3 linked regions of the Macaca fascicularis genome follow. The protein of the gene in region 1 purifies or fractionates together with the protein of each later gene. This does not show direct contact. Links are inferred from orthologs where the notes say so. Each region holds a gene or a part of one and is shown on either strand. Other genes may lie near its edges. The genes, in order: ZNF219, CDK2AP1 and CHD3.

Region 1 (4,780 bases):
GTAGGCCTAGTCTGAACATTGATAACCCTACAACCCTTACTAAATCACTTAACCTCCCAGTTTACTCATCAGTAAAATAAGGGGATTGGACTAATTTATATTGTTAGTCCCTTCCTGCTCAAAAAAATTTGTGGTTCTAAGTCATAGAACTCTTTTGGACCCCAGAGAGATGTTAAAACAAATGGTCATCCCTTCAGTACCATGGAGAGTGCAGTGGGCTACCACAGAAGCCACTTGGGCCACCTCAGTACCATAGATAGAGCTATGAGGTGCTAGAGGGGCTCTTTGCCATTTTAGCATCACAGATACAACACAGAAAAGCTAGAGCATTTTTTTTTTTTTCGTTCCTATCTGAAAACCATAGAAAAAAACCCAGTGGTACCAGAGGGATTATTTTGGCCTTTTAGATGTCACTGAAAATAGAAAGAGCTAATAGAAAATAGATGTAACTAGAAGAATTTTAATTAGCTATAAGGAGCATCCTGACAGTTACAGTTTGTACATCCTGGAATGAGTTACTGAGGCATCATATTTGGGTCCATCACATTCTGTTGCTCTCCCGGGGATTCCCGGAACATCCTGGTGTACAGCCAATCTGGTATATTCAGAGGAAGCAGATGGTGGAGGCGGGGGGGCTGGGAATACTGCATGGTCATAGCTGACTAACCTATGGGCACATACTCTCATTCTGAGAAGATTCTAGGGCCCATAAAACTGTCTGTAGGATAGCCAGCAAAATCTCATAGGAAGCTGGCCTCATATCTGAGGCAAAAAGAGTGGGAATAGGGCAAAGCTTCCTATCCCAAAACAAAACAACAATAAACCACTTTGCACATAGCAGTTTCCAGAACAGAAATAGAGTGATATACAAGAAGGCCCAAACTGAAGCTGAATTCCCCAGCAGGGAAAGTTTCCCCAGAATGTGGCCTAAAATCAACAAAACTCACTGAGATACCTTCCTAGGCCCAATCAAGATCTCCTGAATCATCTCCATATCAAACCAGGTTCCAGATACCTGATCCCATGATTTTTTCTCAGTAGGGGAAAGAACTGACAGGGACTGGGATACTATGAACTGCCTTGGAACCGAGGTCATGCATATATTGCCCTGGACAATAATCACAGAGTTTTCTATAGTCAGGCCTTAAACACCATCCCGAGACTTGGCCAGACAGCAGCACTGACCTACTTTCCACCCCCACTGGGAATCAGGGGTTATCTTGCCCTTATTTGGATTCTGTAAGGATGAAGGGCCAGGGATAGGTATCAGAAACCTTTCAAAAGCAACAGGCCAATTATCCTTACATGCTGGGGCAGCTGGTAGGGAAGTGGGTGTGGATCACTAAACCTTACTCAGTAGAGAAGGATGGAATGGTTGGTGAAAAGACTTAGAAACAACAAGGACAGGTACATAGAAGTATTTGCTAAATGGAACACAAAGACTGTCCCTCAAGTCTTGTGATTCAAAAGTTTTTAGGGTCAAAGTGTAAGGAGCAAGGGTTCAGGACTTCTGGGGTCCAGTTGTAACTGCCTCTGGTCACCTCTAACACAACAGTTTTCCCTCTTGAGAATCCTACACCTCCCGAATCTGCTAACAATTATGATTACCACTGCACTAGATGGGGTTAAAAGCAAAGGGAGCTTCTAGGGCGGTCTACAGTCAAGACTACCTTGATCACACACACACACCAGTAGTTCACTTTTATGGTCTCCTCTCCATGGCCCTCTGAACCTCACTGCTCAGATAGCTCCTCCAAACCCACTCCACTCTGCAGCTCGCCAGCCTTTTTAGACTGAGTTCTTGGTAAAGCCTCCTTCCCTGTGTCCTCACTCTCCTGAGTTGGAGACATGGAACCTCAGCCATGGACTCCAAAGGTACAGCAGGAAGCAAGAGGAAGGCACACCTGCTCACCTGCTGCCATCCCACCATGGGGAATCTTATCCCAGAGGCATGTCCTAACGCAACCCCGATTTTGATTTTGAAAGTTCTGGAGGACCTGGGTTTGGGAACGGGGGTCATGTTGACAGCCCTAAGTCCCCTTAAGTAGAGCTGACCCTAGAAAAGTCAGTATTAGCACCCACGTGAGCCTCAGTCCTCAGACTGGGACGTAGGGGTGACCAAGGGAGCCTCTGGGAAAATCCCCCTCCCAGAAATAGATTGCTAAGTAGGGTAGGACCTGCAATCCTGCCCGAGAGGTTTTTCCAGCAGCACCTCAGACCCCTCCCCAGGAAGATAAGCCAGAAGGATGATGGGGGGCAGGGTTGGGAGATAGGGAGGCCAAGGCTCAGCTACCCCCGGCCAGGAGAACAAAAGCTGAGTTACAGCCGCCTCCGCTGCTGCCGCGGGCCGAGCTCTTTGTGACACTTTGTTTGGGACGCAAAGAGGGAAGCACCCCCCATCCTCTCCCCTCCCCCGCCACCCCGTGCTCCCGGAGAGTTTGGGCTCCTTCCCCCTCCCCCACCAGCCCTACCTGGGCCGGGGGTTGAGGGGTGCACATCCACTCAGGCTCGCGGCTCTGCCGCCCCTCACCCCCAGGCCCCTCGCGCCCTGCCTTCGGGCCCCTACAAAGACACCCGCCACCTCCCCCGCCACATCCCCCCCGTTGGCCCTTCCCTTTGGTGTCTGCTCCCCCAGCTCCTCCACCTGGCCCCCCCTTCCTTGGGGCCCCCCAGCTCTCCAGGCTTCCGAGGCCGCCACCCCCACCCCGCCCCCCCAGGAGCTCTGGGCGAAGTTTGCTTGGGGCCGAGCCGGCGCCCCTCCCCCGCCCCCGCCCCCTGCACCTGCTCCGAGCCGGGCGCGCTGAGCGGGCCCCCCCTCCGGGAGGGGGGGAGGGGGCCGGGGGCGGGGGCCGGGTGGCGGACGGGGGGGCCCGGGAGTGGGGGGAGCGGCTACTCACGAGCCCCGGGCGGGCGGCGGCGGAGCGGGCGGCGGCGGCGGCGGCGGCGGCGGGCGGCGGGCCGGCGGCGCGGGCGTCAGCGTTACGTGGGGCCGGGGGAGATGCGCCGGGCCCCGGCCCCCCCGCCCCCGGCCCGGCCCCCGCCCCCTCCCCGGTCCCCCGCCCCCGGCCCTGGCCCGCATTGTGTGCGGCGGGAGGCGGCCCGGCCATTAGCATGCGGGGGGCGGCGCGGCGGGGCTGGGAGCCGCGCGGGAGCCGGGCTCTGGCTCCGGGGACAGGGAGCTGGGGACCCCGGGAGCCGCGAGAGGCGGCCGCCAGGGGCGGGGTGCGGGCGGTTTGGAGACGGGGGGCGCTGTCGGAGGGAGTAAGGGAGGGAGCGGGGGTGGGGCGCACAGAGGATTCCAACAGGAGACTGGAAGAGATTTTGAAAGGTCATCTCGTCCTTCCCCCAGCCTCCAAGCAGCACTGCCCCTCCCTCCCTAAACCCGGACATACCAGGGAAGGAGTTGGCTCTGCCGCTCTTTCTGCCCCAACATGCACAGACTCGGGAAGTTCTTCCTGGGGTTTTATCTCAAAGCCTCTCCCTTACAATTTCTGTCTCTCTTTTGGGGGAGGAGGAGGGGCGATTATAGAGATAGTTAATGTCGGCCGTATAAGAAACATTATTAAAGTTACTCTTCGGTCCTTTCCGTTCTTGATAAACAATTCCTGCTCCTTCCTCTCGAATTCTATTTTCCATCCCTCAAGTCACTTTAATGGCTCTTCAATACAACAAATATTTACTGAGTGCTTACTAAGTGCCAGGCACTGGGCTCAGCGCTGTGAGGGATGAGAGAGAAGTGGTACCTTCCTTCCAGGCGATTGTAGTCTAGACTACAAACTAGTAAGTAGTATACTCAGATTTATTCAATATTTACTGAATGCCTGTTCACCTATCTAATAGTTTATAATCTTTCCAATAACCCTCTATAATAAAATTAGTCCCCATTTACAAGTAAGAAAAATGAGGCTTCAGGAAGTCTCTTTCCCCAATGGCCTGCAGGCTCAGGGATCCTCAGTGCAAGCCCAACATCTCACATCGCCACCAAATAAAATCAATGCACATGGGAATTGAGGAGGAGTAGATACACAACAGTTTTCTGGATCTCTTTAAAACGTGACTCCCACTCCCCGGGAAAGAAAAAAGTAGATACAGTGCCCCGCCGATGTTGGCACAGCACTGATGGGGCAGGAGTGGCTTACAAAAGATCACTTGCCTCCCAGGACCGTGCCTCCTCTACTAACTTCTAGAGTCTTCTGGCGCAGTCTCCTCTTACCGTCAACAACAAGAAGTAATAGTGATGATGATCATAGCCACTAACATTGAGCACTTGTGTGCCAGATACTGGGCTAAGCTCTCTTCCATGCTGAAAGCAACCCCTTGAGACTGGTATTATTAACTTCCTTTTATAGATAAGGGAACAGAGAGATTAAGCAACTTGCCAAGGGCACCCAGGTAGACCTGGGATTTGTTTTGATCTATAGACTATATTTGGGCCCAGCTGGTTGTGCTTCTGACTGTAGAAATGTGTCCCCAGCTCACCTGCTGAATAACACCTTTAGTGTATGGGCATCAGGCTCATCAGTTTGACCTCATCAGCACCACTAATAGTAAGCACCCACCCTGAATCAACAACTCTTCATAGTCATATTGTTAGCCCCCTTTTATCAGTGAACAAACTGAGGTTCGAATAGGTAGAAAAACGTATCTATCAGGACACACACAGTGGCTCACACCTGTAATCCCAGCAGTTTGGGAGGCCAAGGAGGGGAGATCACTTGAGCCCAGGAGTTTGAGACCAGCTTAGGCAACACTGTGAGACCCTGTCTCTACAAAAAATTTA
Region 2 (4,810 bases), on another chromosome or scaffold:
CCCAGGGTTATGCTCCAGCTTGGGCTGGACCTGGAAACGTGGACTTGGATCCTGAACTGGGCAGAGCACCATGCCACTCCGAGCCTCAGTTTCCATGCCTCCCACATGGGGATGACGAGACACGTGTGCTACAGGGATGGGCGGCTTGGGATGGGGAAGCACTACGCCCGCGATATCCGGCACGTCCACGGCCACTGCAGGAATTGGGCAGGGCGATGTCCCCCAGCGCCCCCTCACCACATCAGCCAAACCCCAGTTTCCTGAGCTTCTGATGTGGCAGCAAGCGTGGCATGGGGAACACAGGCTCTGCTGGCAGAGACCTGGGTTTCGATCCTGGTAGCTACACCTCTCTGGCCTCGAGGGCCAGTTTCTGGGAGGGACCATAGAGCACAGCACCCTGGGCGTTTGCAAGATCCCAGCAGCCTGGCAGGAGGGGCGCTAGCCACTTCCCACGCACCCTCGAATCAACTCGGTGTGCCCCCGTCCTCTTCCCCAACTGCTTTGCCCACTGCTCCTCACCTCTCCTTTTCTGTCCTCCCCACTGGACTTGGCGCCAGCCCCAGCTGTGCCACTCCTGGCTGTGTGACCTCAGACAGGCCCCCCGCCCTCCAGTCCTCAGTTTCTCCATTTGTTAGAGGCAGTGCTTCCCAAGAGAAGGTCTACAGGCTCCAGACCCTACTATTTGATGATACTGGGGTTAGGTTTTGCGGGGCTGAGAGGAAGGAGGAATGAGAAATTGTCCCATTTTGGCTGGGGGGACGAGGAGCAATAGCTCGGTGACTCCAATGCTCTGTCCAGGCCAGTCCCTTGTTCAGGGTTGGGTGGGGGGTGTCTAGTCCTGGAGAGAGATGGCGGAAATGCCCCGAGTTCCACTCATGGTCACTCCTTCCTGCAGACACAGGGACCGGGACACAGGGACCACGTCAGCGCAGGCCGTCTCGGCGCATCTCAGACAATGAGCGCAGTGTGCAGGAGCGAGGGGTTGGCAGAGGCCAGGAAGCTCCTGGGGCCAGGCGCGGCTCCCCGCCCCCACGCCAGACAAAGAGCGCCGGGGCCTGGGGAGCTGGCGGCCTTCCCGCCACTTGGGGCGCCTGGGGGGCTCTGGGGCGGGGGAGGCGGGGGCTTTGTCTAACTCCGCCACTGCCACCACCGGCCAGGCCGCGGCTTGGCAACCCGTGAGCAGGAGGCAGGGCTGCAGGGCGTGAGGGATGATGACAAGGAAGCCGGAGGAGCAGCGGCAGCAGCGGAGAGTCCATCTTGGATGCAAATGGCAGGAGGGGAGCTGGGGTTCTGCAAAAGGGTCCATGGGGGAGAGGGAGGGGCACCAAAAAGCCCAGATCTGGGGATCTCGGCACTCCTGAAATTCTCCACAGGAGAAAGAGAAGAAAAGCTGAATACAGGTGCAGCCAGCTCAGAACAGGACTTCAGGGGTCCCCGTGAGTGCCGCTATCCCTGTGACCCCAAACCCTGAAGGTCCCAGTTTAAGGCCCCGGCCCCAATGACACCAGGTCAAGCCTGAGCTGTCAGCCTTGCCCAGGCTGGCAACACCAGCCCCTGCCCTCCCCACAGGCCAGAGGAAGAACGCTGCTGGCAGTCCTACCTGGCAACAAAGCCCGTCTTTGTAAGGTCTGCGGACCCCAGAGGAGGTGAGAATGTTTGAGAAGAAAACAGTGGCTGTTTGCTCTTTGGGACTCCGAGCCCACAAGTGAGCAATTCAACTCTCCCTCAGCACCCTGACGATTAACCCTTTCCTGCCCCTACACCTCAGTGTCCAAGGTTTTTTTAAATATCGTTTTTATGGGTCCTACTTCGGATGTGGGAGGTTTATGAAGTCAACGTTTGCAAACAAGGCCCAAAACTCGAGCAGGAGAGCCAGCGTGGCACCGGTGACCAACGGGGCCACTCCTTTCCCTCCGAGTCCTTACCCCCCACGCCCCGCAACACAACCGCCTTTTGGGAAGTCTGTTTCCGACCAAGTGTCAGAGAAGAGGGGCCCCAGTGAGGTCACAAAGCCCGGCACCTACCAATCCCTCAATGTTGCGCCCACTCCCCATGGCTCCCTCGGTCCCCTGGGCTCAGCCCGAAGCTGCCTGACAACTTCTGGAGGAGTTTCCTGGGAGCGCCCGGCTGCCGCCGCAGCCCCAGGAAGGTCGAGGGGAGCCCCTCCCGGCTTCTGCATCGAGGGCCTTCCCGGATCAGCCCTGGGGGCTCCCAGATGGGGCGTCCGCGTGACCCCCTGCCCCCACGCCCGCGCGCGGGCCCTAGCAGCCCCAGGACTGCGCCAACTTCGTTCACTCCGCGCACACCTTACGGGGATCCCCGCGTGACCGCATGGGGCAGTCCCTGCTCCCACGCGCCCGGCCGAGGCCCCCCGGCCTCCGAGTCCGCTGCCCACCGGCGACCCCATCCCGGTCCCAGTCCCGGCGGCCCCACGACCTCAGGGCCCGCGGCAGCCCCGCAGCCCTCCGCCCGCGCCGGCCCGCGCGGGGCCTGGCCCTGCCCGCAGCGTCTCCCGCCCGGGCCGCTCCACGACCCCGCTCCCCAGGGCGGCGGGGCCCCGCGCCCCGCGCCCCGCTCCCCGCTCCCGGCGCGGCCCGGGCCGCTCCCGACTCCCGCCGGCAGGGGCCCTCGCCGAGCCGCCCAGAAGCGGGAGGAAAAAGGAGACGAGAACAAGCCTCCCCCGCCCTCGCCCTCGCCCGCCGCGCTCCCTGCGATCCGCAGCCGCCGGCGCGGGGGTCACCCCAGGCCGCCCGCCCCGCACCCCCAGCCAAGGCCCTCGGCGTGCGGGGCGCACCAGCGAACTTTGGCGGCGCGGGCTCGGAAATCATGGCGGCGGCAGCGCTGCCCCGGGCCGGGACCCTGAGCCCCCCGCCCCCGGCCTCCGCGGGCGCCCACGGCATCCCCCGGCCGGGGCTGGGCGCGCGGACCCCCAACTTGGCGGCGCTCGGGGCGCGTCGCACGCGGCTCACTCACCGGCGTTGAGGGCGGCGGCGGGCATGTGCGCGGCCAAGTTCGGTTTGTAAGACATCCCCCCGGGCGGCGGGCGCGCCGGGCGCGGCGGGGCCAGGCCGCGAGGGCGGCGGCGGCGGCGGCGAGGCCGGGCGGCAGCGTGGCAGCCCCGCGCCCGTCCGAGCGCCCGCCGAGCGCCCGCGCACTTTTTGTTGTCGGCGGCTCGGGCCGCGCCGGCAAATATGGCCGTCCGCGCCCTGCCGCCGCCGCAGTCTCACCCAGGCCCCGGGCGCGGCGCAGGGGCGGCCGCAAACTTTCCGCGGAGCCGGCGGGGCGGCCGGGGCCGGGAGGGGGCGGCCCGGCGTCAGGGGGCGGCTCCGCCTGCGGCCGCGCCCCGCGCCTCCGGGTGCGCTCGGCGCCCGCAACTTGCCAAAGTTTGGGGGGCTGGGGTCCCGGCGGCGCCTGAGGCCCGCGCGCGTCCGGGCGGCCGCCCCGCGCCGGGCGCTCCAGGGGTGCACTGGGGGCCGCCCCCGCGGCAGCTGCAGGAGGCCAGGGCGGCCGGGATCCGAGGAGCACTTTCTTCCCCTTGACGGTGGGGGCAGGGATGGAAAATTACCTGGAGAAAATGGTGGCGAGTGGTGTATTTAAGCACGTAGATCATTCCAGACGCCCGGGTCTGGCCAAGCCCCAGGATTCGAATAACTGATGCTTGACATTGATTTCAAATAAATTTCATGTCCCTGTCTTTATGAAGTGGTTTTTAACCCTTTGGGGATCCAAGACTCCTGTGAGACTGACAAAAGCTAGAGGCCTTCTCCACCCCTCATCCCCCTTCCCGGAAAACTCACCCCTGAATCGCACAATTTCGTGCGTAGACTCACTCCAGTATTTAAGGGAAGCACCTACTATGCGCCACTCACTGTTCCAAGCGCTGAGGATACAAGAACTGAACTTGGCAAAGTTTCTACCCCCTGGAGTTTTACGGGGCAATTTAAATCTTCCTTCGACCCCACCCCCAGCCCATCTTCGGATCTGATTGAAATGTAATCATCGAGTGTATTTTGGATTTGGATTAGATGAATAACCTAAAGGTTGTGGGTTTGTTCTCTTTTTTTTCTTTTTCTTTTTTTTTTTTTTTTTTTTTTTAATTTTGGAGTTCTGCCGAAGTAGTAAAGCTCGTTAAAATACATAAGATGCCCACCCTTTTCTGTTGTTTTTAATCGCCATGGTTTGCAGATTTAATTAGACACAGCCGTGCAAGCATCATCTCCGGATCTGGTAACAAAAGCACCCACCTAGGGATGCCCACCCAGGCCTGCCTTCTCCTTTAGGACCAAAGGTGCAGGCGACGACACCCCCTCCCCAGCTTAACCCCCACCCTTGAGATCAGCTGTAGACCAGCACTAGCGAAGGATGCTCAGTGAAACCTTATTCCATGAATAAATTAATGCCACCCATGTGGCTGGTCCCAGGCGCCTAGTCCTCTAGAGCAGCACTGTCCAATGGAAATAGCATGCCAGCCACATAAGTAATTTTCAATTTTTCAGTAGTCACATTTGAGAAAGTAAAAAAACACCGGTGAAATTGATTTTAACATGTTTTATTTAACAATAGCTCCAGAACAGCATGATTTCACTATATAATGAATTAAAGGGAATTATTAATAAGACACTTTACATTCTCTTATACTAAGTCTTCGCAATCCAGTGTGTGTTTTATACTTACAGCACATTTTAATTCAGAGTAGCGACGTTTCAGCGCTCAGTAGCCACCACAGCTAGGGGTCACCATATTGAACAGTGCAGGGCTGCAGCTACTAGCAGAGGGCTCCTGAGGCATACACACCGGGTACTGACTCTGA
Region 3 (4,046 bases), on another chromosome or scaffold:
CATTAGAGTCTGGAACTCTCGCCTTCCCAGCCCTGATTGCCGGAGGAGAGATGCTTTCCAGGAAGTGGGGCTTAGTGAAACCACAGCCCACAGAGGAGTCCAGAGGCTCCTGTGACCTCCATTATTCCAGGATGTCATGACCTCTCCTTTTTCCTCTTCTCACCCAACTCCTCATTCAGGTCCAGGCCATAAGAGACGGAGTAAGAGCCCCCGAGTGCCTGATGGACGCAAGAAGCTTCGGGGAAAGAAAATGGCACCGCTCAAAATAAAACTAGGGCTGCTGGGTGGCAAGAGGAAGAAAGGAGGCTCGGTGAGTGACCCATCCCTGTCTGCTAAACACCTGGGGGCCAAGGATCCAGAGACAGGGATCCGTGAGGGCCAAGGATCCAGAGACAGGGATCTGTGAGGGCCAAGGATCCAGAGACAGGGATCCGTGACGGACAAGGATCCAGAGACGGATCTGTGAGGGACGACGGAGCAGGAAGCCAAAGGCCTGGGGAGGGCGTGGAATGAAGTCTGCCTCACTGACGGCCATGGGGCTATGGGCAGTATGTTTTTCAGAGTGACGAAGGTCCTGAACCAGAGGCTGAGGAGTCAGACCTGGACAGTGGCAGTGTCCACAGTGCCTCAGGCCGGCCTGATGGCCCTGTCCGCACCAAGAAACTAAAGAGAGGCCGGCCAGGAAGGAAGAAGAAGAAGGGTAAGGAGTGTTGACTGCGTGTGATCCTGTCAGTGGGCCATCCTCTCATTCTTATTTTCAATTTTGACTTCTCTCTTCAACCCTTCTCCCTCTCTCTCTCCATCTCCCCCTGCCCCACTTCCTTATCCCTCCACCGGGGTATATGACAGTCCTGGGCTGTCCTGCAGTGGCCGGGGAGGAGGAGGTTGATGGCTACGAGACGGATCACCAGGATTACTGTGAGGTGTGCCAGCAGGGTGGGGAAATTATTCTGTGTGACACCTGCCCTCGTGCCTACCACCTCGTCTGCCTTGATCCTGAGCTTGACCGGGCTCCCGAGGGCAAATGGAGCTGCCCTCACTGTGTGAGTACCTAATGCCAGCATCTGATGACCCTGAGGAACCCACCCATCTCTTTCCCCCTTGGTTTCACTTACCCTCTTCCTACCCCCAGATGGCTGGACTTCTTAGTAACAGATGTCCAAGTGTCTAGGATCCTAATGTATTCCTTTCTCCCACACCTTTGCTCCCAGAATCAGCATTTCTGAAACTGGAGTGTCCTTTTCTTTAGTTCCCACCAGTCTTCTCTGCACTTCTAGGATTCAGGTGTCCTGTCTTTGCCTGTATCTTCCAGTTTCATTCCTTAACTTCTGCCATCTGTCTGTGTGTCTGTCCTTGGCCCCCTAGGAGAAGGAGGGGGTCCAGTGGGAGGCCAAAGAGGAAGAGGAGGAATACGAAGAGGAGGGAGAGGAGGAAGGGGAGAAGGAGGAGGAGGATGATCACATGGAGTACTGCCGCGTGTGCAAGGACGGCGGGGAGCTGCTGTGCTGTGACGCGTGCATCTCTTCCTACCACATTCATTGTCTAAACCCTCCCCTGCCTGACATTCCCAATGGTGAATGGCTGTGTCCCCGATGCACAGTGAGTGGAAACATCTCCCCTCTGTATTTACTGTCGGGCCTGATCCCTTCCCCCATCCCTGGGGCCCACATGTCCAGCTTTTCCTTTCTCTGCACTCCCCCACTCTGTGGGACCCCTATCCTGTCATCTAACGATGGGTTCTGTCTGCCTCTTTTTTTTCCTTCTCCTTGTACATGTCCATCCCAAAGTGCCCTGTGCTGAAGGGTCGAGTGCAGAAGATCTTGCATTGGCGGTGGGGGGAGCCGCCTGTAGCAATGCCAGCCCCTCAACAGGCAGACGGGAATCCAGATGTCCCAGCCCCGCGTCCTCTTCAAGGCAGATCAGAGCGAGAGTTCTTTGTCAAGTGGGTGGGACTATCCTACTGGCACTGCTCCTGGGCCAAGGAGCTTCAGGTACTAGGACCTTTGCTTTCCCTCTCCCCCATGACCTCATTTCCTGCCATCCTCTCCCTCTCTTACTCCTCTGTTTGCTGGGTTCCCATACCCTTCATTTTCTCTCGTTTCAGGCCTCTGGCCTTTATACCCTACTTGCTTAGTTTCCATCTGTGGTTCTTTTGGTCTACAGTCCTCTTTCTCTCAGTCTCCATTAGCTTTCTTCCCTCAGATATAGCATAGCCTTTCTTAACTTCACGTCCTTCCTTATCTATCTTTTTCCATGTTTTATAATATTCCTGGCTGGGCATAGTGGCTCACACCTATAATCTTAGCACTTTGGGAGGCCAGGGGAGGATGATTGCTTGAGACCAGCCTAGGCAACATAGTGAAACCCTATCTCTATTTAAAAAAACAAAATTATCGGCTGGGTGCGGTGGCTCACGCCTATAATCCCAGCACTTTGGGAGGCCGAGGGAGGCGGATCACCTGAAGTCAGGAGATCGAGACCGTCCTGGCTAACACAGTGAAACCCCGTCTCTACTAAAAACACAAAACATTTAGCCAGGCATGGTGGTGGGCGCCTGTAATCCCAGCTACTCGGGAGGCTGAGGCAGGAGAATGGTGTGAACCCGGGAGGCGGAGCTTGCAGTGAGCCAAGATCGTGCCCCTGCACTTCAGCCTGGGCTACAGGGCGAGACTCCATCTCAAAAAAAAAAAAATCTCAATGTTTATAACCCCATTCCCTATCTCCTTTTGCTCATAACAGCCCCACCCAGGCCGTGTCTTCTGAAACTGTTGCATCTGTTTCATTTTATTTATTCTCCTGTTTTGACTTTGACTCATTTGTCTCTAATCCATCCTTTTTCTTCCTTTCTTTTTTCTTTTCTTTTTTTTTGAGATGGAGTTTTGCTCTTGTTGCCCAGGCTGGAGTGCAGTGGCACGATCTTGGCTCACTGCAACCTCTGCCTCCCGGGTTCAAGCGATTCTCCTGCCTCAGCCTCCCAAGTAGCTGGGATTACAGGCGCCCGCCACCACGCCCGGCTAATTTTGTATTTTTAGTAGAGATGGGGTTTCTCCATGTTGATCAGGCTGATCTCGAACTCCCAGCCTCAGGTGATCCACCTGCCTCAACCTTCCAAAGTGCTGGGACGCGCCTGTTATTCTCTTATTGCCCAGGCTAGAGTGCAGTGGCGCGACCTTGGCTCACTACAGCCTCCACCTCATGGGTTCAAGAGATTCTCCTGCCTCAGCCTCCTGAATATCTGGGATTACAGGCATGTGCCACCACACCTGGCTAATTTATGTATTTTTAGTAGAGATAGGGTTTCTCCATGTTGACCAGGCTGGTCTTGAACTCCTGACTTCAGGTGATCCGCACCCCTGAGCCTCCCAAAGTGCTGGGATTACAGGCATGAACCACCGCGCCCAGCCAATCTATCCTTTTTCATAGCTCTCTTTCCCTGTCCCATTCCTCCTGCTGGCCTCTTCCCCGTTCCCTGTTGTCCTCTGTGAGTGTCAGGCCTGTCTCTTCCTCGTTTTTCTGTGCCCTATCAGCTGGAAATCTTCCATTTGGTTATGTACCGAAACTACCAGCGGAAGAATGACATGGATGAGCCCCCGCCCCTGGACTATGGCTCCGGCGAGGATGATGGGAAGAGTGACAAGCGTAAAGTGAAAGACCCACACTATGCTGAGATGGAGGAGAAGTACTATCGTTTTGGCATCAAGCCAGAGTGGATGACTGTCCACCGTATCATCAACCACAGGTGAATCCTTGGCCCTGGGAAGTAAGACCTGGTATATGACACTATTCTTACCATGGTGATAGCCTCATGTTAGTATTTGCTGATTAACCAGGTAATTGATCTAACCTTGATAACCTCTGCTGTAGCTTCAGCCTTTCTGGCCTTGTTTCCTCCAGGGGAATGGGAGAAAACAGGAGGAAAGTTCGGCCAGGCAGTGCCTCTTTTGTCATCTCCAGTGGCATAAGACATAGCACATGAGTCTGGGGATGAGGGCATGAAAGCAAAACATGAGAGACATAATTCATCCAGACCAGTGTTCTGAATATTT

Evidence for each region.
Region 2: the proteins of ZNF219 (region 1) and CDK2AP1 purify together in Homo sapiens (affinity purification with mass spectrometry; 3 studies listed by BioGRID and IntAct, counting the BioPlex papers as one, with this or other methods). This does not show direct contact. The link is inferred for Macaca fascicularis from reciprocal best matches to the Homo sapiens genes ZNF219 and CDK2AP1.
Region 3: the proteins of ZNF219 (region 1) and CHD3 purify together in Homo sapiens (affinity purification with mass spectrometry; 3 studies listed by BioGRID and IntAct, counting the BioPlex papers as one, with this or other methods). This does not show direct contact. The link is inferred for Macaca fascicularis from reciprocal best matches to the Homo sapiens genes ZNF219 and CHD3.

Annotation. Positions count from the first base shown.
Region 1 is NC_088381.1:88,762,396-88,767,175, forward strand, and holds the start of ZNF219 (zinc finger protein 219), read right to left. Parts: upstream 3,236-4,780; 5' UTR 3,080-3,235; coding exon 2,898-3,079; intron 2,155-2,897; exon of another isoform or gene 2,021-2,154; coding exon of another isoform or gene 1,905-2,020; intron 1-1,904. UniProt on the Homo sapiens protein: Transcriptional regulator. Recognizes and binds 2 copies of the core DNA sequence motif 5'-GGGGG-3'. Binds to the HMGN1 promoter and may repress HMGN1 expression. Regulates SNCA expression in primary cortical neurons.
Region 2 is NC_088385.1:130,399,686-130,404,495, forward strand, and holds the start of CDK2AP1 (cyclin-dependent kinase 2-associated protein 1), read right to left. Parts: upstream 3,226-4,810; 5' UTR 3,029-3,225; coding exon 2,974-3,028; intron 2,631-2,973; exon of another isoform or gene 2,307-2,630; intron 1,704-2,306; exon of another isoform or gene 1,601-1,703; intron 1-1,600. UniProt on the Homo sapiens protein: Inhibitor of cyclin-dependent kinase CDK2. Also acts as a component of the histone deacetylase NuRD complex which participates in the remodeling of chromatin.
Region 3 is NC_088390.1:7,961,816-7,965,861, forward strand, and holds part of CHD3 (chromodomain-helicase-DNA-binding protein 3), read left to right. Parts: intron 1-179; coding exon 180-310; intron 311-549; coding exon 550-700; intron 701-849; coding exon 850-1,043; intron 1,044-1,365; coding exon 1,366-1,599; intron 1,600-1,787; coding exon 1,788-1,991; intron 1,992-3,527; coding exon 3,528-3,739; intron 3,740-4,046.